4 linked regions of the Lytechinus pictus genome follow. The protein of the gene in region 1 interacts with the protein of each later gene in a biochemical or structural test. Links are inferred from orthologs where the notes say so. Each region holds a gene or a part of one and is shown in the gene's direction. Other genes may lie near its edges.

What was found.
Region 2: of the proteins of serine/threonine-protein kinase Chk1-like (region 1) and denticleless protein homolog, one has a biochemical effect on the other in vitro, tested with the Homo sapiens proteins (2 studies listed by BioGRID). The link is inferred for Lytechinus pictus from reciprocal best matches to the Homo sapiens genes CHEK1 and DTL.
Region 3: the proteins of serine/threonine-protein kinase Chk1-like (region 1) and DNA replication licensing factor mcm7-like form a complex in vitro, tested with the Homo sapiens proteins (2 studies listed by BioGRID, with this or other methods). The link is inferred for Lytechinus pictus from reciprocal best matches to the Homo sapiens genes CHEK1 and MCM7.
Region 4: of the proteins of serine/threonine-protein kinase Chk1-like (region 1) and serine-protein kinase ATM-like, one has a biochemical effect on the other in vitro, tested with the Homo sapiens proteins (2 studies listed by BioGRID, with this or other methods). The link is inferred for Lytechinus pictus from reciprocal best matches to the Homo sapiens genes CHEK1 and ATM.

What each region holds. Positions count from the first base shown.
Region 1 is NC_087252.1:4,964,228-4,971,688, forward strand, and holds the start of serine/threonine-protein kinase Chk1-like, read left to right. Parts: upstream 1-4,455; 5' UTR 4,456-4,635; intron 4,636-7,461. UniProt on the Homo sapiens protein: Serine/threonine-protein kinase which is required for checkpoint-mediated cell cycle arrest and activation of DNA repair in response to the presence of DNA damage or unreplicated DNA.
Region 2 is NC_087251.1:16,413,244-16,420,621, forward strand, and holds the start of denticleless protein homolog, read left to right. Parts: upstream 1-4,359; 5' UTR 4,360-4,616; coding exon 4,617-4,695; intron 4,696-7,378. UniProt on the Homo sapiens protein: Substrate-specific adapter of a DCX (DDB1-CUL4-X-box) E3 ubiquitin-protein ligase complex required for cell cycle control, DNA damage response and translesion DNA synthesis.
Region 3 is NC_087260.1:14,307,271-14,314,345, reverse strand, and holds the start of DNA replication licensing factor mcm7-like, read left to right. Parts: upstream 1-4,062; 5' UTR 4,063-4,466; coding exon 4,467-4,497; intron 4,498-6,963; coding exon 6,964-7,046; intron 7,047-7,075. UniProt on the Homo sapiens protein: Acts as a component of the MCM2-7 complex (MCM complex) which is the replicative helicase essential for 'once per cell cycle' DNA replication initiation and elongation in eukaryotic cells.
Region 4 is NC_087248.1:3,339,771-3,347,733, reverse strand, and holds the start of serine-protein kinase ATM-like, read left to right. Parts: upstream 1-4,946; 5' UTR 4,947-5,007; intron 5,008-7,963.

The sequences.
Region 1 (7,461 bases):
TCTTTTTTCCCTCTTCTTTCCCCTTTTCTTCTCCCTTTTTTCTTTGTCTTTCCTTTCCCCTTTTTCTTCTCTTCCTTTCTCCTTCTTACTCTCTTTTCTATTCTCTTCTTTTCCCATCTTCCTCTTTCTTTTTTTATTCTCTCCCTTTTCCCCTCTTCCCCCTCTTTTTTTTTTGAGCTGGGGGTGGGGGGGGGGGTGAGGCAGTTCCCCCTCGGCCCTCCATGGATCCACACCTGATAGAACCCCATGGCCTCGTATCATTTGACCTTTGGACCTCTCGATGACATTTGATATATCTGATCATAATTTTACACACACTGCGGACTATCGGACCCGCGGTCTATCGGACCCGCGGTCTATCGGACCCGCGGTCTATCGGACCCGCGGTCTAACGGACCCGCGGTCTATCGGACCCGCGGTCTATCGGGATGTCCCCTAATAATTAAATTGTCCCTTTTGTTTCATCTCGCGCTTAGCAAGAGGAAAAGGAAGACAGTCATCATTTGCATAAATTATGAGGACATGTCCTATATAAGGATGTCCTGGTCCTATGTCAAAACTCAGTCTCAAAGCAATATGAATAATGAAAAATATCGGTGCCAGGTAAAAATGGCAGAGGTAATAATGGCAGAGGTAAAAATGGCAGAGGTGAAAATGACAGAGGTAAAAATGGCAGAGGTAAAAATGGCAGAGGTAAAAATGGCAGAGGTAAAACTGGCAGAGGTAATAATGGCAGAGGTAAAAATGGCAGAGGTAAAAATGGCAGAAGTAAAAATGGCAGAGGTAATAATGGCAGAGGTAAAAATGGCAGAGGTAAAAATGGCAGAGGTAAAAATGGGTAAAAACCGCAGAGGTAAAAAGAGCAGAGGCATAAATGACAAGAGGTAAAAATGGAAGATGTGATAATGACAGCTGTAAAAGTGGCCGAGGTACATGTGCACTATTAAAAAAACCATAGATTCTACAGAAAAAAAATTAAAAGACAGGTTTTACAGAAATAAAAAATAATTTTGTAAATTATAATAACAGGAGGATTTTCCACAATTTTTCTACAATTTTACAAAACAGATGTTTTAAAAAAAGGGGAAAACAGTTTTATTACAATAAATTTGTAAGGGTACACGCACAAAATACCAATATTCTGTAATTTTACACAATTAATGCATGTAAGATTACACAGTGCAGTAAGATTACAGCTGTTCTCCAGACTCTGTTGCAGGAATTTTTGATTTTTAAGTATAAATTTTCTAACAGTGTAAAAAATGGCGGAGTTGAAAATGGCAAAGGTATAGATGGCATGCAGAGGCAAAAATGAAAGAGATATGGGGTGCTGGTTTGTTAAAAAGCCGAGAAAAAAAGTTTTCACTCCAAAATGAAAGGGGATTTGGTTAAGGGGGAAAATGACACAAAAAATTATTTCAACTAAATGAAGTTCTTTTAGGTCAGAAAAAGAATTACAACAAAAATAATAACAATTAGATAATAAACAATGTTTTTCTTCTGTTTGAAAAATAACAGAGATTTGTATCAAATCTCTACATTTTAGCATAATAATTTTATATATACCAAGCTATTTACCAAAAGGGTGCTGCTTATGGTGTACAAAATCCCCAACAGCACTTCCGCTTCCAAGGGTTATGACCATCAAGGCATTTATATCATATTGGATGCAGTGGTAAAGGTTCAGGGTCTTCTTTTATGCAAAGAATCTGAACCAGACGACCCCCCTCGATCGACCCCGAATTGGTTTACCAGTCAAAACAAGATTATTATTGATTTTCATAATCAGTTACATATTCACTGCCAAGCCTGGGAACGCATGCTTATAGTCATTCAAATATTTAAAAAGAATAGTACAGACGACATTACAAATAAGGACATAATATTTAACCACAATCATTCGTGACTATTTCAACGTCTAAGCTTTCCCCGCTATGTTCTCTATGTTTTTCCACGCCCCCTAACCCTCTCTGTCTCTCCACCTCTCTTATGTCTACTCTTCCTCCTTTTTTGCATCGGTAAACCTGGCAAAACTTTAGATATACTAAAAAACCAGCCAGACAAAAAGGAATGTTATAAAATGATGAATGAGAATAGTGCAATTTCATTTTGCTCCTGATAAATTGAATGAAAAAATATCTGTCGTTTGATTTCTTTTTAAAAAGCGTTCACGGTACACCTGCAACGAATTCGTACAAAGCATTGTTAGGCCGATATAGACATAATGATGAAATGACTAACCGTGACATGCACTTCTTATTTAATGTATGTACTTGCGGGGGCTTTTTGACAATTCATTGCATGGGGGTTTAAGACTGGCCATATTATTTTTACCTATAGAGCTGTCATTTTTACATCTGCCATTTTACCTCTGCCATTATTACCTCTGCCATTTTTACACCGAGCCAAAATATCAGCTCTTTATTAAGTGCGATCCATATCCACCTCACAATTTTCCTACAAAGTGCTTGATATATATAGAGCTGAAATATGAAATAGTTTAAGCTCACGCTTCGCGCTCGCTTTGATTTTCATGATAAAAGATGTATTTAGCAGGGGCCGCGGAACGGTTTTCAAAGTGGGGGGGGGGGGGGGGGCTGACCATGCAAAAAATCACAATCATATGGTCATTTTTACGTTTTTGTACACGCTTTTTGAAAAAAGTGGGGGAGGGGGGGCTGAAGCCCCCCCCAGCCCGCGGCCCCTGTTTAGAATGCCTAGATTCTAGGTCTAAATCTGAAACACGCGCGCATGTTTATTCAGATACTCAACTTGTGCTCTATGTAAATCATTATCCAGTTTCAGATCACAATATCAAAAATGTTCTGCTCGCTCTTTGTGCTCGCATTATTAGTGTATAGGAAGATCCCCTATTACTCATCCTTTTCATGATTTACAAAACATGAACAGAGTGTACCGTTTTTAGGTCTAAATCTCGTTTTTTTCGCTCGCGCTTCGCGCTCGCATCAATTGTTTAGTTATATAACTATCCTGTTCACGATTACAAACATTTTCAATGCTTTATGTATACAAATGTCAATTTATTTTTAGCTCGCGCTTTGCGCTCGCATTATTAATTATTGAAATATTATGTAACGTCTTCATGGTTAAGTGCAAGCAGTCCTTACCAGGTGAATCAGTTCAAAACGTGTATATAAATTTTCTGCCTGCGCTTTGCGCTCGCATTATTAATGTAAGGAAGACCCCAATTACTCATCCTTTTCATGATTTACAAAACATGAATAGAGTGTCTCGTTTTTAGGTCTAAATCTCGAAATTTTCCGCTCGCGCTTCGCGAAAAAAATTGCTTACAATTTCCATTCTTTAGGTCAAAATGTCAAAAAAAAATTCAGCTCGCGCTCTCATTGTTTGATTGTTGAAATATGCAACGTCTTCATGGCTAATAGCAAGCAGTCTCGCGCTTCGCGTTCGTAATAATTAGTTAATTGCACATACATCTTTCTCAGGATAACAAACATTGCCCAGATTATTCAAATTTTACGAAAAATACATGAAATTTTCAAAAAAATTTAGCTCGCGCTTCGCGCTCGCATTATATAGATAAGGATTATGATATGATATATTTATGTTGATTTATAAGCATAAAGCTAAGAAGTTACTATGAGGACTACCCTTCAAAGAAACATACATAAATCATCTTCGAGCGGCCGATCAGGGAAAATATTGCTGAAAAAAAATTCAGGGCCCCCCATATCGGCGATGGCTGGATCCGCCCCTGAAACAGCGCCCATAAAACAGTTCCTTTCAAAATATGTTTACCTTCAAATGTTATCTCTCTTTTCATTGTAAAAATCCCTTTCCACCACTTCTCAGCTCTGATGAAGACAGTGCCCCCATTTCATAGTCTGCAGGCACAATATTGTCAATATATATATCCTTAAAATTGTTTTTGATAAACTTTACATTACCGGCACTATTACTTCAGGCATGCAGAAACGGAAGATGACGGTGAGAATACCGGTTATTATGCACTCAATTCTTCTTTTGACATGGAGGTTCCCTACGTCGTACACACGTTCCGCAGCCCCTGGTCCTACAAAAAAATTGTATACGCTTTCCTTTCCTTTTTCTCTTTTTTTTTGGCGCGAGCTAACTAACAGGGTTAGATTTTTTTTTTGTCTTGGTCGTTAAACTTTTTTATTTATCATTATTATTATTTTTTGAGGGAGCTTCTTCTTTTTGACTGGCGATTAGTCATATTTGCATATTGTCGCCACTGACTTTATCTTAGAAATATCACTTCTCACATGCACATGATAATAGGCCCTATTATCACCAATATGAAAATGGTATCTTGTGCATCTTTGAATTTAATAAAAAGTTGAGAATTTCTCAGCGCACCCGGTGCGTCCATGCTATACCTGTAAGTACTTGGAAAATTGAAATTATTTTCGCCAATAGATGGCGGTCGTCATTCAGCTTCGATCTATCAAAACACATGACATGTGCAAATTTGGCGCGCCAGTTTTAATGAGATCGCAAGTGGTGAGTGGTACGGTACGAGTACGACTGCAGCTGTGCGAGCTGGACTGAAGTGAGCGGGAACTGGAAAGCATTTGCGCCGTTGGCAGCCGCCCAGGTAGTTATCAAGCTCTGACTGAGTCTCCGCTGCGGGTACGTCAATTTTTTTTTAAATATTCAATATTGTTACACTTACATACACATCATTTCCATGACCGTTTCTATGAAATTTGATTACGGTCTTATGAATCATTAAAAAATGACAATTTGTGATGTCAGAGTAGAGTTCTAAGAAATTCTGAGATCTAACGTTGTTAAATTAAATATTCTAAAACTTTAACTTTTTAAATTTCTAAAACTTTAGTTTAGAAAATTAATTGTCACTAACGTAATGAACGTTAGTCTACTTGACTTGCCACTGGTCTGCTGAGTGAGTTGACTTAACTTCCGACCATTTTTTTTTTCATGATGCATCATGTCCGTAATGTTAAGTTGATAAGTTGTTAATGTTATGGTAGATGATGGGTTTACACAATCACAATGTCTGACTCTGAGTCTGACTGAGTTGTGTAACTAAATAATTGGGTATTGCAATAAAATGTTTGCAATAAATTGCACATACTCACATAGTCTATTTTGTTTAGTTGCATTTTTTTACAAATTATTATGCCGAGTCATGGAATTTCTCACACAAAGTTGGTCTTGTCTTGGCAACTCTGAATTAAAATCATTTTTAGCTGTATGTTTGCAAACGGATGACATTCCGTTTTGCAAGAATCGGATCTGCAATCACAAATTTGCAATTTACGTAAGTTGCAAAACAATTGTTATGAATGAATTAGCGACCAAAAATTGATGTGCAATTGATCGCAAGTTTCTTGCAACAGTCACACTGGAAAATTCTTTCAGGCACGGTTGTGAAATAATTTGTTTTTTGTACTGTAGAGTGATAGAGTCTAGTGTTGATCAATATAGTCTACTCAAGGTCAGGGTGACCAGACGTCCCGTATTTCCTGGGATCGTCCCATATTTTACTCCTTTGTTCCGGCGTCCCGACAAACCCTTCCCGGGACGCCTATTTGTCCCGTATTTCATGATATTGAACAAAATGTAGTTAATACATTTTAAAAGTGACAAATTTTCATCAAATAACCAACAGATATGACGAAGCAGAGACAACAATAAAATCGATAACTAAACTTTTGCAGGTTCTGTGGTTTTTTTTATTGCTAACCCAATACATTGCAAACGAACTGGCCTCCTGCCTGTGTGTGGCAGGCTATACTAGCTAGGCATGTAGGATCAGAGCAGATTCTCAATGGTGCAAGCAATCTCACATGATGAACAGTTTTTCCACCAAAATAATCACAAAATCAGCCGGAAATTTGTATAATTATATTACATTATGGATTCTCAGATTACAGATTTGGAGATGTAATTGGAGGAACAAGTTATTGAGTTTTCATAACTAGATCTCATTGTTTCAGCTTTTGTTTTGAGTCTTGGGGATCTTGTTGTGTATGATGCTGCAGCGATGTTTCATCTAATTTTTAAGTTTGAAAATGTTTCACTTTGAAATTTTATTCATTTCTAAAAGTACATTTTGATTTTTTTTTTATTATAAAAGCATTTAAAAACACCATGATTTGTTAGATGATTTTTTTTGTTTGCTTGAAGTTTGAACTTTTTCCTCTTTCTTTCTTTTCTATCCTTCTTTCTCCATCCTTCCTGCTTGCCCTTTTTTGGCTATCTATCTTTATTTCCTTTTTTTTTCCTGAACCTTTCTCTCTGTTCATTTTTCTTTCTCTTACTTTCCTTCTTTCTTAAATTTCCTTTTTTTCCTTCATTCTTTCTTTCCTTAAACTTTTCTTTGCTTCCTTCTCCCTTTCATTTTTCTTTTCCTTCTTTCTCTCCTTCCATTTTTTCTTTTTTTTCTTTTTTTTCATTCTCTCCTCCCTTCATTCTTTCCTCCCTCTCTTTCCTCCTTTCTTTCATTCTTTATTTCATTTTTTCCTTCTAATTCTTTTCCCTTCCTTCCAATCCTCCCTCTCTTTCCTCCTTTCTTTCATTCTTTATTTCATTTTTTTCCTTCTAATTCTTTTCCCTTATTCTTTCTTTCCCTTCCTTCCAATCCTCCCTTCCTGTTTTTCTTCTTTCTTTGTTTCTTTCTTTCAAAGAATGAAGGAAACACATTTTTTAATCCTTCATTCTTTCGTTCACCCTCCTTTCCAATTCTTTATATTTTTTCACAAGTCTAACACTGTGTAGCCTTCGTTTTTGATGTTTTTTGTCGATTGTCCCATATTTCATTTTGTGAAATCTGGTCACCCTGCTCAAGGTACAAAAAAAAGAATTCTCAATTTTTTTAAGAAAATGACATTTCAATGAGTTTTTTTAAATACACTGTATATGGGGAAGCTGCATGCTCGCATGACATCACAAATCAAAAAATGAAAATTCTAATAACAAGTTATTGATTGATTTTCATCAAAGTATATTAACAATAAAATATTTATCAGGGGGAACTTCCCTTTTAAGTTTAAGTTTAATTCCTCAAAATGTGTGCACCAAATTGTATGTGTTAGTGTGATTGTGAGCACCATGACCTAAATCAAATCTAGTATGACTCACAGGTACGACTAGACCGATACTCTACAAAGAGGACTGAACAGAACTCAATGGAGGAAGAATGCATGGCACCATAGTTTGAAACAGTCATGTCATTGTGTAATGGATAGTTATACCTTTACCTTTACCCGAGATTCTGGAAGAATGCTGATGATCCCAGCAGTCGTGCTTCCAGTTCAAGTCCTTCATCTGTCTCGTTACTTAGGTATCTTCATAGCAGTCTAGCTTGGAAATCTGCTCCGTCCTCAATATTAGTGTGGTTTATGCATCATAGGGTGAGCAGTACCGCTGGTCTGCCCACACCTTGTCTAGCCTTATTTTTAAACTGTTCACCGTCTGAGCAGTGACTAC
Region 2 (7,378 bases), on another chromosome or scaffold:
GCACGTCTCTTCCACGGAAATAAAAGGAAGGTCGTTGGTGGCGCTAATACAGTTCGCAACCTTAATTCGGCTTGGTGGTATTTTTAAAACTAGATTCATTATTCATTGTATGCGCAATTCCAATAATTGTTTGATAAAATAGAGACCCCAATAAATGCAATAACTTAAAAAACATACTTTTTTATTATTTTTGCTGACGATAATACTTTTTGGAAAATATTCAAAACGATGACAAATTAAACAAAAAATATAGAAAATTCTATGTACCTTGAACAAAGCCCAGCAAGTGCTACCGTTCGTTTGTCAATTAACGTTCCACCAAAGTCTTTACAGTAAAAAGATTGAACACTTTGCCGACTTCGCGTAACGCTTTGCATCGATTTACGTGTAAGATAATTTCTGTGTCTAGTCTTTCAATTGTAGTGTCTTTGATATGAAGATAAATCGCGCGCCCTCTTTCGCTCATTAGACGAAAAATTTGAGAGCTAGAAAGGTAGCTCTCGTATTTTGTCAACGAGAAGAAAAATCAACGCTTAAATGACGCATTTTGTGTTTGAGGGATATTCATCAAATTATGAGGAATTGACTTCACATCGTTTCGTAAGTTTTGTAGGAGGACTTCATTCTGTAAGTCCTCGTATTAATTTTTCGCAAATTAACGTTATTTGTTGAATGCACCGTGCCTTCAATTATTCTGTAGTCGGCGGCTGAGATGTAGCTGTGTGTGCCTATGGGGATGGGCCAAAATGCTGTATGCAAATCCAGACACATTTTATGGAGCATTTAAGCCTTATGGAACAACTGCAGAATACCCGGACACTGCGTTACCTTATCGTTGGAGAGCCAACGCACAACGATGTACTTAAGCTATCAAATCAGAAAATCAGCTATAATAAATAATTGAATGATTTACAACTTACAAGTATTTTTTGAATAGATTCTAAGTGTTCAGACTGCACTGTAACGCTAACGATGCGAGCGCGCGCGATTAGTATGTAGACCAACAGTGTCCGCGATGCCAACGATGTGTATATTTTCGTAGTACGTGTAGGCCAACACAGTCCGCGATGCTAGCGGTGCGTTGGTGTCCGTAGTACAGGCCAACACTGCCCGCGATGCCAACGATCTATATATATATCTGTGTGCATCTGTAGTATGTAGGCCGACATTGCCCGCGATGCCAACGATGTGTATATTTTCGTAGTACGTGTAGGCCAACACAGTCCGCGATGGTAGCGGTGTGTTGGTGTCTGTAGTCGGTACAGGCCAACACTGCCCTCGATGCCAACGATCTATATCTGTGTTCTGTAGTATGTAGACCAACAGTGTCCGCGATGCCAACGATGTGTATATTTCCGTAGTATGTGTAGACCAACATTGCCCGCGATGCCAACGATGTGTTGGTGTCTGTAGTACAGGCCAACATTGCCCTCGATGCCAACGATGCGATCATATCTGTAGTTGCCTATGTAAACCAACATTGCCCGCCATGGCAACGATGTGTTGGTGTCTGTAGTACATGCCAACAGTGCCCGCGATGCCAACGATGCGATCATATCTGTAGTTTCCTATGTAGACCAACATTGCCCGCGATGCCAACGATGTGTTGGTGTCTGTACTGTAGAGTACAGGCCAACATTGCCCTCGATGCCAACGATGTGAATGTATCTTTAGTAGGTATAGGCCAACAGCGCCCGCGATGCCAACGATGTGTTGGTGCCTGTAGTAGATGCAAACAGTGCCAACGATGCCAACAATGTAAATGTATCTTTAGTACGTATAGGCCAACAGCGCCGGCCAGGATGCCAACGATGTGTTGGTGTCTGTAGTATAGGCCAACCTTGCCCGCGATGCCAACGATGTGAATGTATCTTTTGTATGTATAGGCCAACAGCGCCCGCGATGCCAACGATGTGTTGGTGCCTGTAGTAGATGCCAACAGTGCCAACGATGCCAACAATGTAAATGTATCTTTAGTACGTATAGGCCAACAGCGCCGGCCAGGATGCCAACGATGTGTTGGTGTCTGTAGTACAGGCCAACCTTGCCATCGATGCCAACGATGTGAATGTATCTTTAGTAAGTATAGGCCAACTTTGCCGGCGATGCCAACGATGTGAACGTATGTTTAGTATGTATATACCAACAGCGCCCGCGATGCCAACGATGTGTTGGTGCCTGTAGTAGATGCCAACAGTGCCAACGATGTGAATGTATCTTACATAGGCCAACATTGCCGGCGATGCCAACGATGTGAATATGCCTGTAGTAGAGGCCAACATTGCCGGCGATGCCAACGATGTGAATATGCCTGTAGTAGAGGCCAACATTGCCGGCGATGCCAACGATGTGAATGTATCTTTAGTAAGTATAGGCCAACTTTGCCGGCGATGCCAACGATGTGAATGTATGTTTAGTATGTATATACCAACAGCGCCCGCGATGCCAACGATGTGTTGGTGCCTGTAGTAGATGCCAACAGTGCCAACGATGTGAATGTATCTTACATAGGCCAACATTGCCGGCGATGCCAACGATGTGAATATGCCTGTTGTAGAGGCCAACATTGCCGGCGATGCCAACGATGTGAATATAACCCTAACCCTAACCCTAACCCTAACCCTAACCCTAACCCTAAACCCTAACCCTAACCCTAAACCCTAACCCTAACCCTAACCCTAACCCTAACCCTAACCCTAACCCTAAACCCTAACCCTAACCCTAACCCTAACCCTAACCCTAACCCTAACCCTAATTGAATTCAATTCCCATTGAATTCAATTCCCATTGAATTCCTTCAATGGGAATTAAAACTTTATTTCATATTTTAATGAAGAAAAAATGAAAATATTTCATGTATAAAAAATACAAAAGAAATAGAGAGTGAATGACATCGATCACCTCACTAACCAGGATATGCATATATTAAACTGTTTTGTGAAACCATACTTTGAAACGCTTGCCAACGATGTTTTGAATGTTGCATTGCACGGTCACATCGTTGGTCGTTGGCTAGCGGCGCACCCAACGATGTATAGCAATAGCTAGTAGTAGTAGGTAATTTAAAAGAGTGTATTAATCTTGTACTATTGCACCTTCACATCGTGGGTCGTTGGTTAGCCAACGATGTTTTAAATGTTACATGGCACCGTCACATCGTTGGTCGTTGGCTAGCGGCGCACCCAAGGATGTATATAGCTCTAGTAGGTAATTTAAAAGAGTGTATTAATCTTATTTTATAATATAACAGTTTCACATCGTGGGTCGTTGGTTAGCCAACGATGTTTTGAATATTATATTGCACCGTCCGTACCGTCACAACGTGGGTCGTTGGCTAGCAGCGCACCCAACGATGTTTAATTATAGCTCTAGTAGTAGTCAAAGGGCAAAGGTCATTACGTATGGCCTGGATGCATTGCTCGTACGTACCGTCATACGTACGTACGTACGTAGTATAGTAGTAGTAGTAGTACCAGTAATGCATGTACGTATATAATAGTATGGATATATCTAGGCTATATACCATTGAATTAGTATATAGCTATAGGTCTTGACATCGTTGTGTTGGCTGACCAACGATTGGGTAGTGAGCAGTGTCGGGGTATTCTGCAGTTAAGCCAGCCTTATTTTTCACTATTTACTTAGGAAATTTTATGGTAAGTTTTGAGCAATGTTTTTTTTTTTTTCGTTGTCCTACCTACTGAAATGTATGATGATAAACAAATACTAAATAGAATTCGTTAGCTGGCATTTAAATCAATTTGTAATTGTAATTTGTATACGATTTCATGATATTATTACATCATTTCATAAATTGTCTACTTAAAGTTAAACGGATGAATAAAATATGTTTGCAGGTAATTCATTTAAAATGCGTTTCACATGGCGCATCATAATAAATGTGCGACACGAAAGACGGTTCTTGCAAAGACCCTTACGTGCAATCGGCCCCAGGCCATGGCATATCCACGCCGCTACTCCCGGGCAGCGCGAAGCTAGACTCTTGGACTGGAGAAAGACGGGAGAGCTGAGGCAGCAGTTGTGCTGGACGTGCCTGTGCAGCTGCACAGCCTGCAGCAGGTCGCGGCGGGGGTCGCGGTCGGCAACTAGCGCAAATAGTGCTGCAATTTTGCTCATGCTCACCTTTATCAAGCTCAAGAAGAGCTGAATTTGCATCATGTTCTTGTTCTCCATATCCGACATCAGTACCGAAGTTTGACAAACGAGAAGTTGCACTTGACATGGTATTTCAAGTCTTGAGATATTGTTTGGCGTGTGTAAAATTCTTTTAGAATTTTTAGATTGGCGAATCTACATGTACTTCCGGGTTCAAATCTTTAAGCTCTAGCTAGGCGTTTTGATGTAAAATCGTGCAACAATGTGCATCGCGTATGCTGCTTCGTCCGTGATAGATCTAAAAAGCGTCTGGGTTTTGAAACTATCTTTCGGGAGGCGCGCCAAATTCGATGCATTGCAGATACAACGTAAACAAGTGTGGAAATGAAGTTTTTGTGAAACGAAACTGAAATTCTAAGCTTAGACGCCAACCATTAATTTAGATTTTACTTAAATCTACCAGAAAATCTCCAGCCAGCTGATTTTATCATTTTTTCACAATGTCATCCAGGAATTTGATTACTGCTTATCACCAAGATCGCCGACGCTGGGCTTGGAAATCACAAACAAAGAATATTGGTGAGTTCAACTTTACTTTACTCATTTAGTTTAATGAGAATTTTGAGATAGTATTAGTAATGACGTTCCACACTACCACAGTCAGTTATTGAGTTAACATGAAATTCATGTCATTTTCACAAAATTTTGCGTAGGCCTAGAGTTAATTTTGCACCTTAATACTCCAAATTATGCAAAAATTGACATGGGTTAATGAAATCATGTGCTTGAATTTTCGCTATCGAGCTTTCAAGTTAATCTTTTTGAAAGGTCTTCTTGAGTTGAGAAATGTACGTCATAATTTTTAGACCCCACGCCCACAGGCTAACGTCGAGTTTATTATACCTCTATTACTTTGAAATCCATCAAAATTTTACCAAAATTTACATTATACTTATAGGCCTAGTTTAGAATTATATAGGGGTCCTACTTCTTCTTCCATTAGACTTAGATTACATCCATTGATGTCAATGACCTAGACAGCTGGCAGCCGTCTGTTTCGAGAAGTTATTCAACATTTTTTTATTTTTTAAATTTCTCGTACACAGACGGCTCGCTATCATGTATAACCCAGGGAGCCCAGGGGCTTACCGTGTATTTGACCATACTAACGGGACTAGCGTGATTTATGGTCTAAATATTTCTCCAAATGAATTGTGAAAACAGAAATTATGCACTTACCAAGATTATATGGATGAAGGTATAACGAGTGGCATTTTCCTGACATCGAGGCACAGACTGGAACCTCAAAAAACGAAAAGTTCTCTCCTACCACAGTCTCGATCGGCCATTTTTGTTATGAATCTTAACAAAATGGCCGATCGAGACTGGGGTAGAAGGAGAGAACAGTCCAGTTGGTGTGTTATCTGCCAATTTGAAAAAAGCCTTCCGTGCTAAGCTTAGACAAGCAAGAGCTGCTTGCAGGAATGGTCTTCTGTCAAGAATTGAGGGAGCCGACGAACACAACGACAGACTGTTCTATACACTAGTGAAAGAACGAGGCCCTGGCTCTGATGTGCACCAACTCAACCCTGGAGGTCTCACCTACTCTGGGCCCGATATCATCCAGGGGTGGACTCGGCATTTCCAGGATCTTGCCACCCCATCTGACTTCAGTTCTACACAGGCTCTGAATCCAACACATCCTGAGAATATGGACTCCCTTGCTATACATCATCCACAAGGGCTTGACCATCTCTTCACTTCAAAGGAGCTGTCCTTGGCCATCTCTTCATTAAGGCCTGACAAAGCTAGTGGTCCAGACAACATCTCTCCTGAGCACCTAATGTACACTGGGTGCACCACTAGGATCCTTATCCTCATCATGATGAACTGGATGATATATCTGAAGCACATTCCTCTCAGCCTTAAAGATGGCCTTGTCATTCCTCTCTTCAAAGGTGGGAGCAAGAATCCAACAGACCCAGGAAATTATAGGGGTATCACTCTGAATCCAGTCTTAGGAAAGCTGTTTGAGTTGTTGGTAAAGCCCAAACTTTCCCAACACTTACAAGAACACCAAATTCCAGACCCGTTGCAATTTGGTTTCCAACGAGAGAGGTCCTGTACTCTTACAGGTAAAGCACTTGACCTTCTCATCGAATCGTACAAGTCCCTCAACTAACCTCTGTACATAGCTATGTTGGATGCCCAGAAAGCATTCGACAGGGTCTGGCAAGATGGTCTCCTTTCGAAGATAGCAGCGACTCATCCACCTACAGTGCTGCTGGATACCATTACTGAATTTTACAACAGTTGCTCAAGCAAGGTATTCTGGAAGCATGAAGTTGGTCCCTCCTTTCCTGTTCTCCAAGGAGTAAGGCAGGGGGAGTGCTTTCCCCCATGCTGTACACTCTCTACATCAACGACCTTATTAAGCGTCTGAGGGAGTGTCATCTTGCTGCTCAGTCGGCAACCTATATGTTGGGGTCATAGCCTTCGCGGATGACATTGCACTTCTTAGCAATGAGCCCATGGAACTGCAACAGATGTTGAATGTCACATTTAATTACACCCAGGAGTGGAATTACAAGATCGACCCCTCCAAGAGTGCAATCATTGTGCTTAATCAAGATCTTCAGAACAGTGGCAACTCTTGGCAGATCAATGGTGAACCGATTGCACAGGTCTCCTCACACAAGCACCTTGGCATCGTCAGGACTGACATCTTCAGTATGACTACGCTGCTGATGCGATCACAAAGGGATACAGATCATTTTATGCCCTTGTGGGAACCTCACCACTAGGAGCAAGGGTAGTTCCCCATGTCGCTGCAAAACTGTGGAAAACTTTTTGTGTTACCAGGATGATCTTTGGCTGCTCTAGCATTCCCTTTTCAAGGGCAATGTTGAATCGCCTAGATAAAGCACAGGTTCACCTATTTAAGCGGATTCTGGGTCTACCAACAACATCAGCCGACGAAGCAGTATATCTTCTCACTGACATACATGTAATCCCAATGAGCCTGTTGGTCACCCAGGAAAAGCTCCTACTCCTGGGACAGACCTTGAGCACTGACATGGACAGGATAGAACGAAGGATGCTTCTTCATGGTATCTGTGCCAACACCAAATCCGTACAAGAATGGCGTGCTGCACTTAAACAAAATTCAGCCTTCCCCACTTGATGAACTTGTAAGGAATCCCCCTAGCTACCATCTATGGAAGCGAATGGTTCAGTCGGTAGTGATTCAGGTATCCGGGGC
Region 3 (7,075 bases), on another chromosome or scaffold:
TCTGTAAAAAATGTAAGTCATTTTGTGTATTTTTTCCCCCATTTGACACACCTTCCAAAATTCCGGAAATGCTGCTTATGGAGAATAATACACGCAACACCCCCAGGGAAATCATTAGGGGTGCTTTGGCACCCCCAGCACACCCGCTTCTGAGGGCCATGCTCTCAGGAGAGGGGGGAAGGGGCACGGGCTGGATGAACCCCTCCCTGGATCCGTGGTGAACAACCTTTTTCAGCTCGGAGGCCGCATAGTAGATCAGGGCCCCCGGGGGGGGGGCACTCGACCAAAAAAGTGGTAGGGGTGTGCCGCGGGCGAGACAAAAAACGGGGGCCTTGGAGCGGGCTTATTGTAAAAAGGAGCGTCCTCGGAACGGGCTTCGGAACGACAAATGTTTGTAAAAACGGGGGTCCTTGGAACGGATCGCCAGCGTGTGAGCTTGTATGCATCCCTATGGAACGGGTATGCGTGCATGATGCAGCTAGCCCGGCGGCACGGCCGCCGAGTGCGCTCGCGCAGAGGCGATGGTCGGACAGCGCTCTCGGCCGCTTTTCACCAAAATTGCAGCTTCAATGCGACCGGAACGGCGTAACGAAAAATATGCGACGCTTTGGAGCGGATTTCTGTCTTCCTTTTTTCTCGATAAGAAGAAAATGCTATGCCTTGGAACGGCTTTCTTTGTTCTTTTTCTCAATAAGACAAAAATGCTATGCCTTGGATCGGAAATTTGAGTGTAAAAATGGGGGTCCCCTCCGCGGCACATACCCACTATGCATTATATACTGAGTGCCCCCCCCCCCGGGTCAGGGCCCCGTAACACAAAGGTTAGCGATTAATCGTTAGTTTGAAAGACCAATTGTGATTGGTTCCTCGTCAGTCTACTGAGCAAAATGCGCATGCAACACTGATCTTGATAGGCCGTTTCATTTAGCGATTAATCGCAACGTTTGTGTTATACGAGGCCAAGGGGGCAGGGGGCGTTCCATCAACATTGTCTTTGTCGGATAATCTGACAATTTTCGTTGATTTTTATTGGGTGAGAAGCACGTAATTGTGGGGATAAAACATGTCTTGTGGGATAAAACTATAATGTTCCAACAAGTCCGTTTGATTTGTTAACATCATGATCATGATCAGTGAAATATGGCGGAAAACGATAGTCATAAATGAATATTTCTGTTATTTAAAATAATAATTACATATATTGTAAAATAGCTAGTTTACACACTTATTTTGATTTTTTTAAGAATCAGTTGGACCTTGCATTTATTATACTATTCTAAATTATAATTCTGTGTTTTAAAAAACGGGAGATATGAAACCACGTGATCTGCATCATCAGAAGTTTTACTGGTCCAGTTAAAAATCAACTGGCCAAGTAAAAATCTACAGTAACAATTAGGCCTGCTGGTCATGACTCATAGGTTAATTCAGTAACACCAGTTTGATTTAAAACAATTGCCTGGCACCATGGGCGAAAATCCCAGGGGGGACGCGCGACCCCCTACTCAAAATAGTAGGGGGACACAATATCCAATGTCCCCCCTACTATTTTTGATGGAAAGAAATACATCATTCAAAATCGAAATAAAACATGTATTTTGGACGAGATGCCCTTACTTTTTGGGTGATAACCTTTTTTTTTGTTGTTGCTTGCTTGCCTCGTCAAATTTATTTTGGTCGGAGTGACTTTAAATTTGTGGCCTGATAACAATTTTTTTTTGCTTGTCAAATTTTCCAGCCCCTGGTCCCCCTACATTTGGGGAGAGATTTCCGCCCTTGACTGGCACTATCCCATAGGCTACTTTGCTTGAACTGGAATGCATTTTGATATATGGAACTGGTTTCTTCTGGGTAGAATCACGAGCGAGTTATCCTCTTGAGTAGATTTTCCAAGGCAATGTGAAGGAAAAACGCGAGCGATCTTTTTTTTAATAGATCAGGGATAATGACCTGAGTTTCCCCCAATTATTTCCCTCCCTTGCTTCCTTTTCTTAATATATTTTTTCTTCCTTTTCATCCTCCCCTTCCCTGTTCCTTCCTTTTTCCCCCCTTTCTCGCTTGGGTGGACTGTTGGCACACGATACCCCCCCCCCCCTGAAGGACCTTGTTCGCGCGCGCTAAATATAAGAGAAAAAGACAAAAAAGACGGAGAAGAAAATGAACGAGTGTATATAAACAAAGCCCGGGGGAGGGGTACGTCACTCACGAAATAAGGCATACGGGGATGTGCCGCTGGAATGTGTCGCTTTTTTTGAAGAAATCCCTAAACATGGCCCAAATTTTTAGATACTGGCCTTAAACTTGGGTCCATGGCCCCAATTTTTAGATACCCCGGCCTTAAACATCCCACTGGGCATTTTACCCGATATTACCCGGGTTGTAACAGGTAATAACGTAGTTATTACCACGGTAACACCAGTGGGTAGTAACGGGGAAATAGTAGACCAATCTTTCCCCGTTATTACCCGGACCCGATATTACTCCATTTACCCAATATTACCCAGTATGATGTAACCGATATTTCCAGTTATTTTCATGATATTACTGCCCGATATTACTCCATTTACCCAATATTTCTCAGTATGATGTAACTACTATTTCCAGCATTTTAATGATATCACCACCTCATATTACTCTGTTTACCCAATATTACCCAATTAATGTCGGCTCATTAAAAAAACAATTAGTGTCATTAGGGTCATTGAAGCACATTTTTACAACTCCATACTCTAAGCCATATCATCTTATCCTATCCTAAAATCCTACATCCTAATCCTAATCCTATCCTACACCTATCCACCAAACCCTGTCATTTACTTCTATATATTGAGCGAGTTTACAACACTTGACAAATTATGGTTAACAATTATTCAACCCTAAAACATTTTTCTAAAATTAATGTCATGATTATGACTAATATGATATATAAACTACACATTTTTCTGAAAATTTTCTGGGTGGAATAATTGCATAAACATAAACACATTAATTATTACAGCTATATTAGCTAAAATTTTGGCCATTTATTGTAGTAATGAATATTCATGAGTAACTAATATTCCCAGCATTTTCCTGATATTACCATCTGATATTACTCCATTTACCCAATATTAATGGGTTCCGCATGGGTTGGAGGTCTCGTTTCCATCTGAGTCCTATCTGGGCACCATGTGGGTTCAAGTATATGTTTTCATCTGGGTTCCATGTGGGCCCATATGGGACCCAGATATCCCAGATAAGAACCGTATGTGATCCAGATACTTTGCTGTCTGGGAATGGAAGCGTTTCAACATTACCCATTACCCCTTATCAACCTGTTTGTAACTGGGTAAAATTTGGTTTCATCAGGGTGATAACAGTAATTTTTTGGACTTTGAAAATTTCGCTGGGATTGCTGTAAGATTGCTCTTATTACTAAAGTTTGCAATGTTATAACCAATCAAAGTCATTCAACATTACCCTTATTACCCCTCACCACCCTGTTGTAACTAGGTAAATGTAGGTTTCATCAGGTTGATAACAGTAACAGGTATCAACAGTAATTATAATTTCGGTAATAACATGGTAATAACGGTAATATTTGGTGTTACTCAAATTTCCGGGTGATATTACCGGTAATAACCGGTAAAATTGGTAATCGGTAACAAATTGCCCAGTGGGATGGTCTCCTTCAATTTTGGGTGATAACCTTTTTTTTCTGCTTGTTAAATTTCAATTAATCCTTAATAATGGGTAACTTTTCAGCCAAAATGACCGGTAAATATGGGAATGGGTTTTGAATCTTTAGCCGCGCACCCCCGCGGGCCGTCCGAAACAAAATCGAAGTACCGCCCCCCCCCCCCCCCCGGAACAAAGAAAGAAAAAAATGAGAAGGAAACGTGAAAGAATAATTACAAACATACAAAACTTTAAAAAAAGTAACAACAGTGCTACAATCGGAGAAAGGGCCATATTTTTCAGGCATATTTTCTGTTTAGAACGCTTTAATGAAAATCTAGGGACGAGCATGGTATCGTCGTAACAGAGAAACAGCTGTCAATCGTGCATGTATCGAACCACAATACCGAATTAAAAACAACAACAAAGAAAAGTCGTTGTCTTCCTTAAAGCGTGTAAATTACCTATTTTCATTCTAAATAAAGACGTGTCACGTGATATCTTTCTCGAGAGGTTCGTCTGTGCGATAAATTATGACCATTTGATTATTTAGAATCATTCTGAAATTTATTTACTTCGTGAATTGTCTATTTTTAGCGCAGAATACCTATCTGTAAATGATTAATTGGCATTTAATTACAAAATTCTCACAGCGTGAGACTAGTCAACTCGCGCTGGCGTGTCACGTGATATATTTCGCGCCAGGTTCGTCTGTGTGATTTTGTACACAAAAGGGTCTGCTAGCTGTTCAAGAAATATTGTTTGGTTGTGGAATTTGATTTAAGTACAGTAAATTACAAGTTCAGACAATGGCAGCCAGGGATTACATTGCAGAAAAGGGTGAGTGTATTTTACGACAGTTTTTTATCTTGTTTTTGTGAGATGTTGAGACGGAGAACAGTTTGGATGATCGGATGAATTGAAGCCAGTCGCACGCGCCGGCCGCGGTGAAGCCATTTAAAGTTTAAATGGACGCAGTGCACTTGCTCCCATGCCTGAGCTGCATATTCAAAGCCTAGCCAGCGACGGGGCGCGGGCTCCGACGCGACTCCGCTCTGACTCCGAGCCCACTGCTGGCCTGGACATCGCCCAAAAGTAATATTTTATAAATCTAACTTACTAACGTTGAGTGTGAGCGGAATGGGAGGGAGTTCAGTTAGGCTTCATAAGAAATAATCATTTCCTATTTTCCTAATGGCTGCATTTGCATGATGTATGGATTCTATTTCATCTGTTTTCTCTTTCTTACTTGGGCCCTAGTAAAATTTCATTCAGGTTTGTAAAAAAGAGAAGACCAGACTAGAGACTACTCTTAAGTCTATAAATTAATAGTAAAATTACATAGCCTACCAAACCTATTCAAAACCATTTGGATCAAATGTTGGATGTGGCATTTTTCAATGAAAAAGACAATAATATGACTATTTTGGAGTCAAAGTCAGATCAGCAGTTCTGCAAGCAGACAAATCTGATTGTACTCCTACATGTAATATAATAATACAGCAGGAAATTAGCTTAAATCGGCATCATCATTTTGCAGTGAAACTTGTACTTGTTAATGTTATTATCTTCAACCAAGATTTAAAGTGTACAGTCATGCGTTCTAATTATTCTATTCAAAGAACTTATACAGAAGATAAACCAATTGACAAGTCCAATAAACAATACATGTACATTCGAGAATCACAGAAGTAGGCTATATACATCTTAATGCAATGTTTTTATTGCAAATATGAAGCTCATCATTGGGTCAAACTACAATGCCAATAAAATGTCAAACATGCTTTCAGTTTACATACTGAATGACTATGAGTCCATGACAATTCTTTGGTCTGGAACATGAAGAGATCAGATTCTGGATTTGCCTGCATTTCATGTTCAATAGAACTAGATCAACAATGAAAAAAAAAACAGTTGAGACCTACTCAGGCCTGTGCCTACAATTGTACCCTACATCAATTCCAGAGTTGACCCTCTTCCCGCTCTTTTTGTGAGGGTAAGAGTCTGTATGGTGGATTGTACAGGACGGTATAGAAATTGAAGGGATTCTGCCAGGTTCATGTATTCTGGCCCCGTAACACAAAGGTTAGCGATTAATCGCTAATTTGAAAGTACAATTCTGATTGGTTCCTAGTTATTTTGCTGAGCAAAATGTGCATGCAACGATGATCTTGATAGGCCATTTCTTTTAGCGATTAATTGCTAACCTTTGTGTTACGTGGCCCAGGTCATCGTCTGTATCTCTGCTCAGGACAGTTCCCTTGCATTCCAGAATTCGGAGTTGCACCATCTGCAGCATCAACAAAGATATGTCTGATCCTCTTGTGGATGATTTGATCTCCTAGAAATGGTCCCCTGCTTCTTTGTTGGAGATATCTCATTCAGTATCTTTTCTTTGAGAGCATGTCTATGCCCTCCTTTGGCCTTGTTGTCAGGTGACGATTCTGAATTTGCTTGAGAACCTGAATCACATACAATGAACTTGTTGTAGATAGTCAAAGTAACTCCTCTAAATGTTCCATTTCTATCCATCAAGAGAGATTCTCCTAGTTTTACCAGATTTCATGTAAATGTAGACTCATTCTGACAGTGATCTTCTGTGGATGCTAAGAAGGTGACATAATCTTTGATTTTCTGTAGAGTGACAGGTTTCTCTAAGATTCCTAAATCCTTGAGCATGCACAGTCTTTGCTTAGCAAGGCTTGCACAAAAGCAAGATAGTGTCAGTTTTGGCAGTCTTCCGAGTTTCATCCTACCAATGTCCTTGAGTGTGATCTTGAATCCTGATAGTGTCAGAGACATGCTTACTGCCAGCGCCTTGTGCAATGAGCTCATACATTGTAGCAAATAAGTTGAATATCGTTTGAATATCTTCCATCCTCGTAACCACTTCTTTTTCTGCCATGATGTCATCGAATTCAGTTTGTTATTGATCAATTTCCTTTCTAATTATGATTTGATTTTACTTTTCGACGTGTTTTTCACAGCTGAGAATTTTTGTGTTCTTAAATCTTACTTGCTCCATTCACACTATCACATACTACATGTAGCATGAACTTCAAGTTCTTGCTGAAGGCGAAGGTGGCCTTAGTTCAGGAGCCTGACCATGTTTGTGCACAGTCAAGAACTGCAGGGGTAAAAAAGAAAAACCTAAAAGGAAAGCAAATAAAGTTTCCAGGAACATTGATTGTTCACTTAATCATCAAGCGATTGAATATCTGCCCTTTGATTCGTTTAAGATATAAATAGATGCAAATATCTTCTCCCCATTTCACACATTTTCTTTCTCACTTCAATTTTTTTCAGACAAATGCAGAGGCTTCTTGACTGATTTCTATGTTGATGGAGGCAGGAAAGGAAAGAAGAACTTCAAATATGCACAACAGTTGGTAAGAAATTACTTTTACCCATCTTCACA
Region 4 (7,963 bases), on another chromosome or scaffold:
CCATTATTGTATGGCAGTACGTGGCGTAACTACGGGGGAATGGGCACGTGGAGCACGCCCCCCCCCCCCCCATCGGCTAGTCAAAACACACACACACACACAAAACGGGGGAAGGAGAAAAAGAGGGAGAAAGAAAGACAAACATAGCGAGGGAAGAAGACATTACTGTTTATTTATTATATCATTTTATGTTACATTATTATTTTATATAACATGAAATATTTTCCCATAAGGGCATATTCGTCACTCGATCCTGGTGATATTAATCCTGTTCACTAAAACATTCTCCGTTTTCAAGTCAATATACACCACCATGTCCAGTCCGTGCTTACCTTCGCATGCAGTGGATTGGTGAGATGATGTTTCCATGAATTCCTCAAAAACAATCCTAAATATGTCCCTTTTCTCGTCTTAATTTAAAACATTTTCAACTCGCGCCTCGCATCATTTAGTTAGTGAAATACGTATGGTCCTAATGAATTCTTGTCTTAGAATGCCCTCTTAATCAGTTATGAATATCAAAAGTTTCAGCTCGCGCTTCGCGCTCGCCTTGATTAATAAGAAACGTATGGTGTTGCTGATTACAATAATTACAAATGTGTTTAGGTGTAATTCTAATAATAATAAAAATAAATCAGTACGCGCTTGGCGCTCACTGCACTTACGGATGCAGAGAGGATGTAACGCAAAATAATGTTGCTATCCTATGGAATTATGTATCCGTTGTGTACCCTTTGCACACGTGTTTCATATACCAGTGGCGTAACTACGGGGGGGGGGGGGCATGGGAGGCAAAAACACGGGGAAAAGGAGAAAAGAGGGAGAGAAACGTAGTGGGAAAGAAGACATTATTATTCATTATAATGTTATATTATCTTATAATTATGTTATGTTATTTTACATTAAAATTTAAAAAAATCCTAACTTTATGAAACATAATTTGCTCAGGGCTTATGTATTCATTGTTCCTGATGCTCGCGTTGTCTGTTTAACGAGATATATAATCCCGTTATACTAAAACCTCCCGTTTTCAAGTCAGTATACACCAAATAATATTTGTATTGTTTTATGTAGTGACAAATATGCTTCTTTTTCATGACTACTTAAAGTGATTGCCCCATTTTAAGGTCTAACTATAAAACATTTCCTGTCCGTGTTTGCGTTCGCATTAGTAGATTAGTGAGATATGTCTGCTCTTCATGAATTCCTAAAATCAGTCCTTAAAATGTCCCTTTTTCTGATCTGAATATCAAAAATTTTCAGCTATCGCTTGCATATTTTGGTAAGTGAAATACGCATGGTCTTGAATTCCTACAAACAAGCCTTAAAATGCTCCTCTTCAGGTCTGAATTTCCTAAATTTTCAGCTCGCGCTTTACGCTCGCAATATATGACAAGTGAGATGCGTATAATAATCATGATTACAATGACTACAAAAAGTGTTTCTCATGTGTTTAGATGTAATTCTAAGAAATCAGCATGCGCTTGGCATTCGCATTAGATGACTATGGTGAGATAAGTGTTCTCTTCATGGATTCCTTTAAAAAATAGTCCTTAAAATATCGCTGTTTGGGGTCAATATATACAAAAAAAAATTAAGCTCGCACTTCGCGCTCTTATCATTTGGTTAGTGAAATACGCATAGTATTCGTGAATTCCTACTAACAAGCCTTTAAAATGTCCCTCTTCAGGTCTGAATTTCCTAGATTTTCAGCTCGCCCTTCGCGCTCGCAATATTTGGTCAGTAAGATGCGTATGTTAATCATGATTACAATGCCTACAAGTGCTTCATGTGTTTAGATGTATAAAATTCTAACAAAATCAGATAAAATGGCACTCGTATTAGATGACTATGGTCAGATATGTATACTCTTAATGGATTCTTAAAATATAGTCCTTAAAATGTCCCTCTTTGGGGTCAATATATACAAAACTTTCAGCCCTCACTTCGCGCTCGCATTGTTTGTTTAGCGAGACAGGTATACGTATCATGATTACAAAAATGTATTTATAATGTCCCTTTAAAGGTCTGAATATAAAAAAATTTCAGCTCGCGCTTCGCGCTCGCATTATGTGATCAGTGAAATATATATCCATTTAATGGCACTGTCTTTAGAATTTCTCTATTAGGTCAGTATACCTGACAACTGAGCGCGCTTCGCGCACTCAATAAGTGACTAAAAACATTTTTGGTACCCCCCATGCCGTGACCCACGGTACGCCACTGTTTCATACGTTCTCCATCGAGCATCCGTCCACTGTGATTTCATTGTCCATTGTCTGGAGCGGATGTAAACGGATGGAGCCACCTCGAAATTGGCTTGTCCGCTGTATCCGTTAGCCTATGGATACGTTTTGTGTCCGTCGGCAAGTGGGACCAGACCTTTAGATGACTATGTAAGCTAGCTCTTCATTCATTTCTAAAGAATAGTCCTTAAAAGGTCCTTGTTTGGGGTCAATATATGTAAAATTTCAGCTCGCGCTTCGCACTCACATTGTTTATTTAGTGAGACAGATATACATATGATTACATAAATCGGCTATTATAATGTCCCTTTCTTAGGTCCGAATATATAAAAAAAAAATCAGCTCGCGCTTCGCTCGCCTCAGTGAGATACAAATCATTTTAATTGCACAGTCCTTAAAACGTCTCTATGAGGTCATATAGCTGGCTGTTGAACGCGCTCAGCGCGCCCACTAAGTGCCCAAAAAATCCAGGGGGCTGTTTCATAAAGCTGTTCGTAAGTTAAGAGTGACCGTAAGAACGACTGGTGAACCTTTCTTACGTGCTAAACCATCGCCAATGAATATGCAATTTGCCACTAGAAAGGATCACCAATCGTTCTTAAAGTCGCTCTTAACTTACGAACAGCTTTATGAAACACCCACCAGGTCCCCCATAGGCCCCATGCCGTGACCCAATGTTATGAAACAGGGCACTAGACAATATAATTATCCATTAACGTATGAGCCTGGAACGGAAATCTGAGGGAGAGGGGGCAAATCTTTTCCCCAGGACACCATTGAAGGTCAAGTCCACCCAATAAAACTGTTGATTAGAAATGATAGAGAAAAGTTAAACAAGCATAATGCTTAAAATTTCATCAAAATCGGATCTAAAATAAGAAAGTTATTATATTTTTAAGTTTCGCTTATTTTTCATAAAATAGTTATATGCACAACTCAGTGATATGCACATGAGAGAGTTGGTGATGTCCCTCACTCACTATTTCTTTTGTTTTTATTGTTTGAAATACAATATTTCAATTTTTACAGATTTGTCAACAATTAAGGACCAACCTGACTTAATCATAAACTGTTGAAATAATTGTCATCACACATGGTCAGGGAGGAATAAGATTTGTTTCACATGCAATGAGGAGAAAATAAGAATTTTTATATTTCATGTGATAAAATACAAAAGAGGTAGTGAGTGGGTGACATCATCGGTCTGCTCATTAGCATACCGACCATGATGTGCATATAATTGTTTTGCGAAATTAAGAGAAATTTTAATATGTCATATTCTTATCTTACATCCGATTTTGATTTTTTTTTAATCGATGTTATAAGCTTGTATGATATTTCTCCTTTTATTCAAGTCACCTTTTTATTGGGGTGGACTTGTCTTTAAGCAAAAATATCACCACCTGCACAAACAACAAAGTGCTATAAAACGCCAACTTTGAGAATAAAAAAAAAATGTATCAATAGAGATCCACTCTCCTTCGCATATTGACTAAGATGAACATCTTTCTGTTATGAATATCATAATGAAGTGGAATGGATTGGTTAGCGAGAGAACAATTAAGCAAAGGAATTATTTTGTTTTTTATCAAACTATTTTATACAACATTCTCTCTTTTCATTATCTTCCTCTTCTTTCTCATTTTATACCTTCTCGTTTTCTTGCCCCTCTCTTCTTTCGCTTTTTTTTCTCCCGTGTCATTTGGAATTGGAGTTCCATACCTCTTCCTTTTCTTTTTTTCTTTCACTTCCTTTCCTCTTCTTTCTTTCTATTTTCCTCTCCTTTTCTTTCCTTTCCTCCCTTTTTGTCTTCCTCTCCCTTTTATCCTTTCCATTTTCCTATTCATTCTTCTCCCCTTTAATTTCCCATTCCGTTTCCTCTTTTTCTTTCTTTCTTTCTTTCTTTCTTTCTTTCTTTCTTTCTTTCTTTCTTTCTTTCTTTCTTTCTTTCTTTCTTTCTTTCTTTCTTTCTTTCTTTCTTTCTTTCTTTCTTTCTTTCTTTCTTTCTTTCTTTCTTTCTTTCTTTCTTTCTTTCTTTCTTTCTTTCTTTCTTTCTTTCTTTCTTTCTTTCTTTCTTTGCTTCCTTCCTTCCTTCCTTCCTTCCTACCTTCCTTCCTTCCTTCCTTCCTTCCTACCTTCCTACCTTCCTTCCTTCCTTCCTTTCTTTCTTTCTTTGCTTCCTCTTTTTCATTTCCTTCACTAACTTTCGGTGGTCTTGTAGATTTCCCCGCTGAAATATTTTTGGGCCGGGGGTTGAGGGACCCGCCCCTGCCCAAATGTTTGGCACAGATGGTGTTTGAAAATATATGACAATATATTGGGCATGATGGTAGATGAAATATTATTATAGAATAACTTGATGTAAAATTTTAATGTTCAGTACGAAGAAAAAATGGAAATATAGATGATCAATAGAGGAATGAATACAATTTTTTTTTATTCACGATAAATCATGATTTTCCTCACCCGTAGCCATGGGGTGGCAATAATGATTAATATCGATAATTTCATTAAAGCAAGAAACAAAAATAAAGATGATCACATTCACATATGCATTAATATAAAGCACATGTATGTTCATTTTATAATGAATATGTCAATGGCGTAATACGCCCGCGCAGTGGGTTAATTTTATTATTAAAATTATTATTACTTTTCATTTTTTTTTTCCAATTCTATTTGTGTGGTTAACTTCTCCTTCGTTGCGCATGTTCGACGAAATTTAAAGTCGAAGTCTGAGTCTGACTGAAAGTCAAAGTTCGTAAGTGGGGTTAAATTTTATATTGTGCAAGAACATTTTGTTATATTTAACTTTTGCAGTCATATATATTAACGATGGTCTAATCTTCCAGCTTGAGTACACTACCGCTATTATTACCACTCTGTTTCTCATCGTTCTGGCCGGGCGTTTTGGGCTTCTGTCTGGCCACGGCTACGGCTGCCTCGGTAACCCAGGCCGCTCCGGCCCGCGAAGCGGGGCGGAGCCCGAGATCAGGGGCCTGTTGCATGAAAGGGTCTTTCGTAGAACCATTCTACGTAAGAACGAGATATCGCTCAACTGTTTCACAAAGCCGATTTGGGCGATACGAAGAATGGTCCTTGGAAAGACACCTCCAGACATGTCCTACGTAGGCATGATCTTCTTTGCACACCGCCCGCCACCGTCGGCATTGAGAGAAAATGCATTTACGCCAAAATTACGGCAAGCCACACTGACATATCACCTCTAAACATTTTTTTTGGTTGCACTCTGATGCATTTTATCTGGGATGGTGCCAAGTTATGTTTTATATGGGGGCTATAGTTGTCATCAATTTCAGGTCGTCTTTTTGCACGGCAGGACGACCAAAAACGGATGTCATTTTAACTTCTCCGGCCGGGGTATGGTAGGGGGTCCTAAAGCTGCGCGGGTCCTAAAGCTACGCAGCACTCATCGCGCATGCAGTTTTTATGGCAAATGCCCGGCGGCGCGGGGCAAATGCGCACTCTGTGTGTGGAACTGTGACTGCAGAGTGACGAACGATTCCTATTCAATTTTTTCTTCAGAGGCTGCACTGCAGTAAAATCTCTAAATGCAGAGAAACCAACAACTGTTTGGAATTTTGGAGTTATATTCGCTTAAATTTCATTTTATCCTATAATAATATGAATGTATTTTAGAAATTGAGGCACAAGAAATACTATTTTTTTGCATGATAAATCGAGTGCGTAGCTTTAGGACCCCTTCTACATCGGGTGGCGAAATCAAGAGGTGTTCGGAAAACTCGGCGGGATTTTCGTATTAGTGAGTTTTGCGATATTTTCTTCTTGGTTAATGATCTTTAGAATGTTTGCCACAAATTAGTGAAAGATATTTGTTGAAATACTAAAATTGGGGTAGTTTTTATTGTTTGAAAACAAAGTGCGTAGCTTTAGGTCCCCCCATCATACATGTATTATTCCCGGGGGTAATGTATAGGGCCAAATATTTTTAAAAATAATATGTTTTCTTCTATTCTCCCTCCGTCTTATCCCCACCCCTTTTCTATTAAAAAAATAAACTTGAAATACTTGAAATGGGCGGCACTATATCTCTTTAGCCGACCCCAGTCATGCTTTCTCATTAAAGATAAACAACAAATTTCTTTAAAAGAAATTATGTAAGGTAAAAAACGTGTTCAATAACATTCAGCAAAAAAAAACCAAGACAAACAAAACTAAGATGTTAAACATGCTAAATCATTTATTTATTTTATTTTATTTTCATTATAATTATTTTTTTTTGCTGAGATTTATTTTAATCAATGAAAATTAATTGTTGGATTTGAAACAGTGAAACAAAACAAAAAACCTGCAGCTAATATTGAATTTAAGATACAGATTAAGCCTATAGCTTACGAATCCATCACAATCATTACAAATGAAGATAAGTTCATTAAAGAAAAGATTATGGAAAGTCCATACGAAGAGGCGCATTTTAAATCTTTTATGTTATTTCTTAAACCTTCCATAAATTAAGTGATCATCTTTAAATATGACCAGCGTTTATGATCGTTGTCATATTTAGCATTATTTCTGTAAAAGTATTTGTCCATTGCGGATTGATTCACACCTTTTTCTATGTTTTAATTATTATTGCAAAGTACTACTTTATCCACTTGGACATGTTTGCAGCAATTTTCATATTTTCATTTTCTTCTGTTACTCATCATGCAACTGAGGTATGTTTATACTCTAAATACTCACATTTGTATTTCTTGCGTTATATCTGACAAATAAAATAAATAAATTAGATTTTTCACACGCAGCCTCTCATATTTTCCTTTTTAGTCTCATACAATCAGACACTGTTGATTTTGTTTACTCCATTCAAACCCTATATTTACCTCAACAAATAACATATTAACGCATAATTTGCAAAATTATCATTATATACAAGTATTCTATAAAAATACAGAATATTGAACTCATAAATGTCGAAATTACTTAGTTAAATCAATTTTTATGTCGGACAAGGCCCAAGGGTCTCTTTCGTTGAAATATCAATAAAAGGTGTCTCTAAAAAGACACCGTGTTCTAAATAAGGGAAATAATGAAAATTTCGATTTTATTTAGTTATGTTTGTGAATCTTTAAAGTTTTTTCTCTTTTAACCTCATAAAGTAAGCTCCATACATCAATTCTACTATCAGTAATAAATAAAACATTATTTGATCTCCTTTTATTGAAATATCGGATTTTATGTAAAGTCGTCATTCAGAAATAAAAGGTTCAGGTGACGATGAAGACTAAATATTTTCCCGATACTATCGATATCAAACGATGTCGCGGACTTGGAAGACAAAATTGCCTTCGTGAAACGGAAAGCGCTGATTTGTCGCCAATCTTCCTATCTCGGAAGAATGGTCCTAGGACGTTCCTACGTATCGCTCATCTCGTCATGCAACAGGCCCCTGGACTCGTCCGTGTAATTAGGCAGCGCGTACTCTCCAAAATGGGGTAGAATGGGGTCGTAATAGCACCCCAAATAAAAAATGAAAAAACAAATTATGCACTTACTTCGATTGTATGTATTTGACTTTGGCAACATTTGAGAGGTATTTTACAGTGTGAGTGTCATTATAAAAATAATTAATGATGATGACAAGCAAGCAAGTCCAGTTTTTTGAGAAGTTCGTTATTTCTGTCTTTTTTCTGGACCGGCACCTTCACTGTCATTGTCAAGGAGCTAAAGTAAAG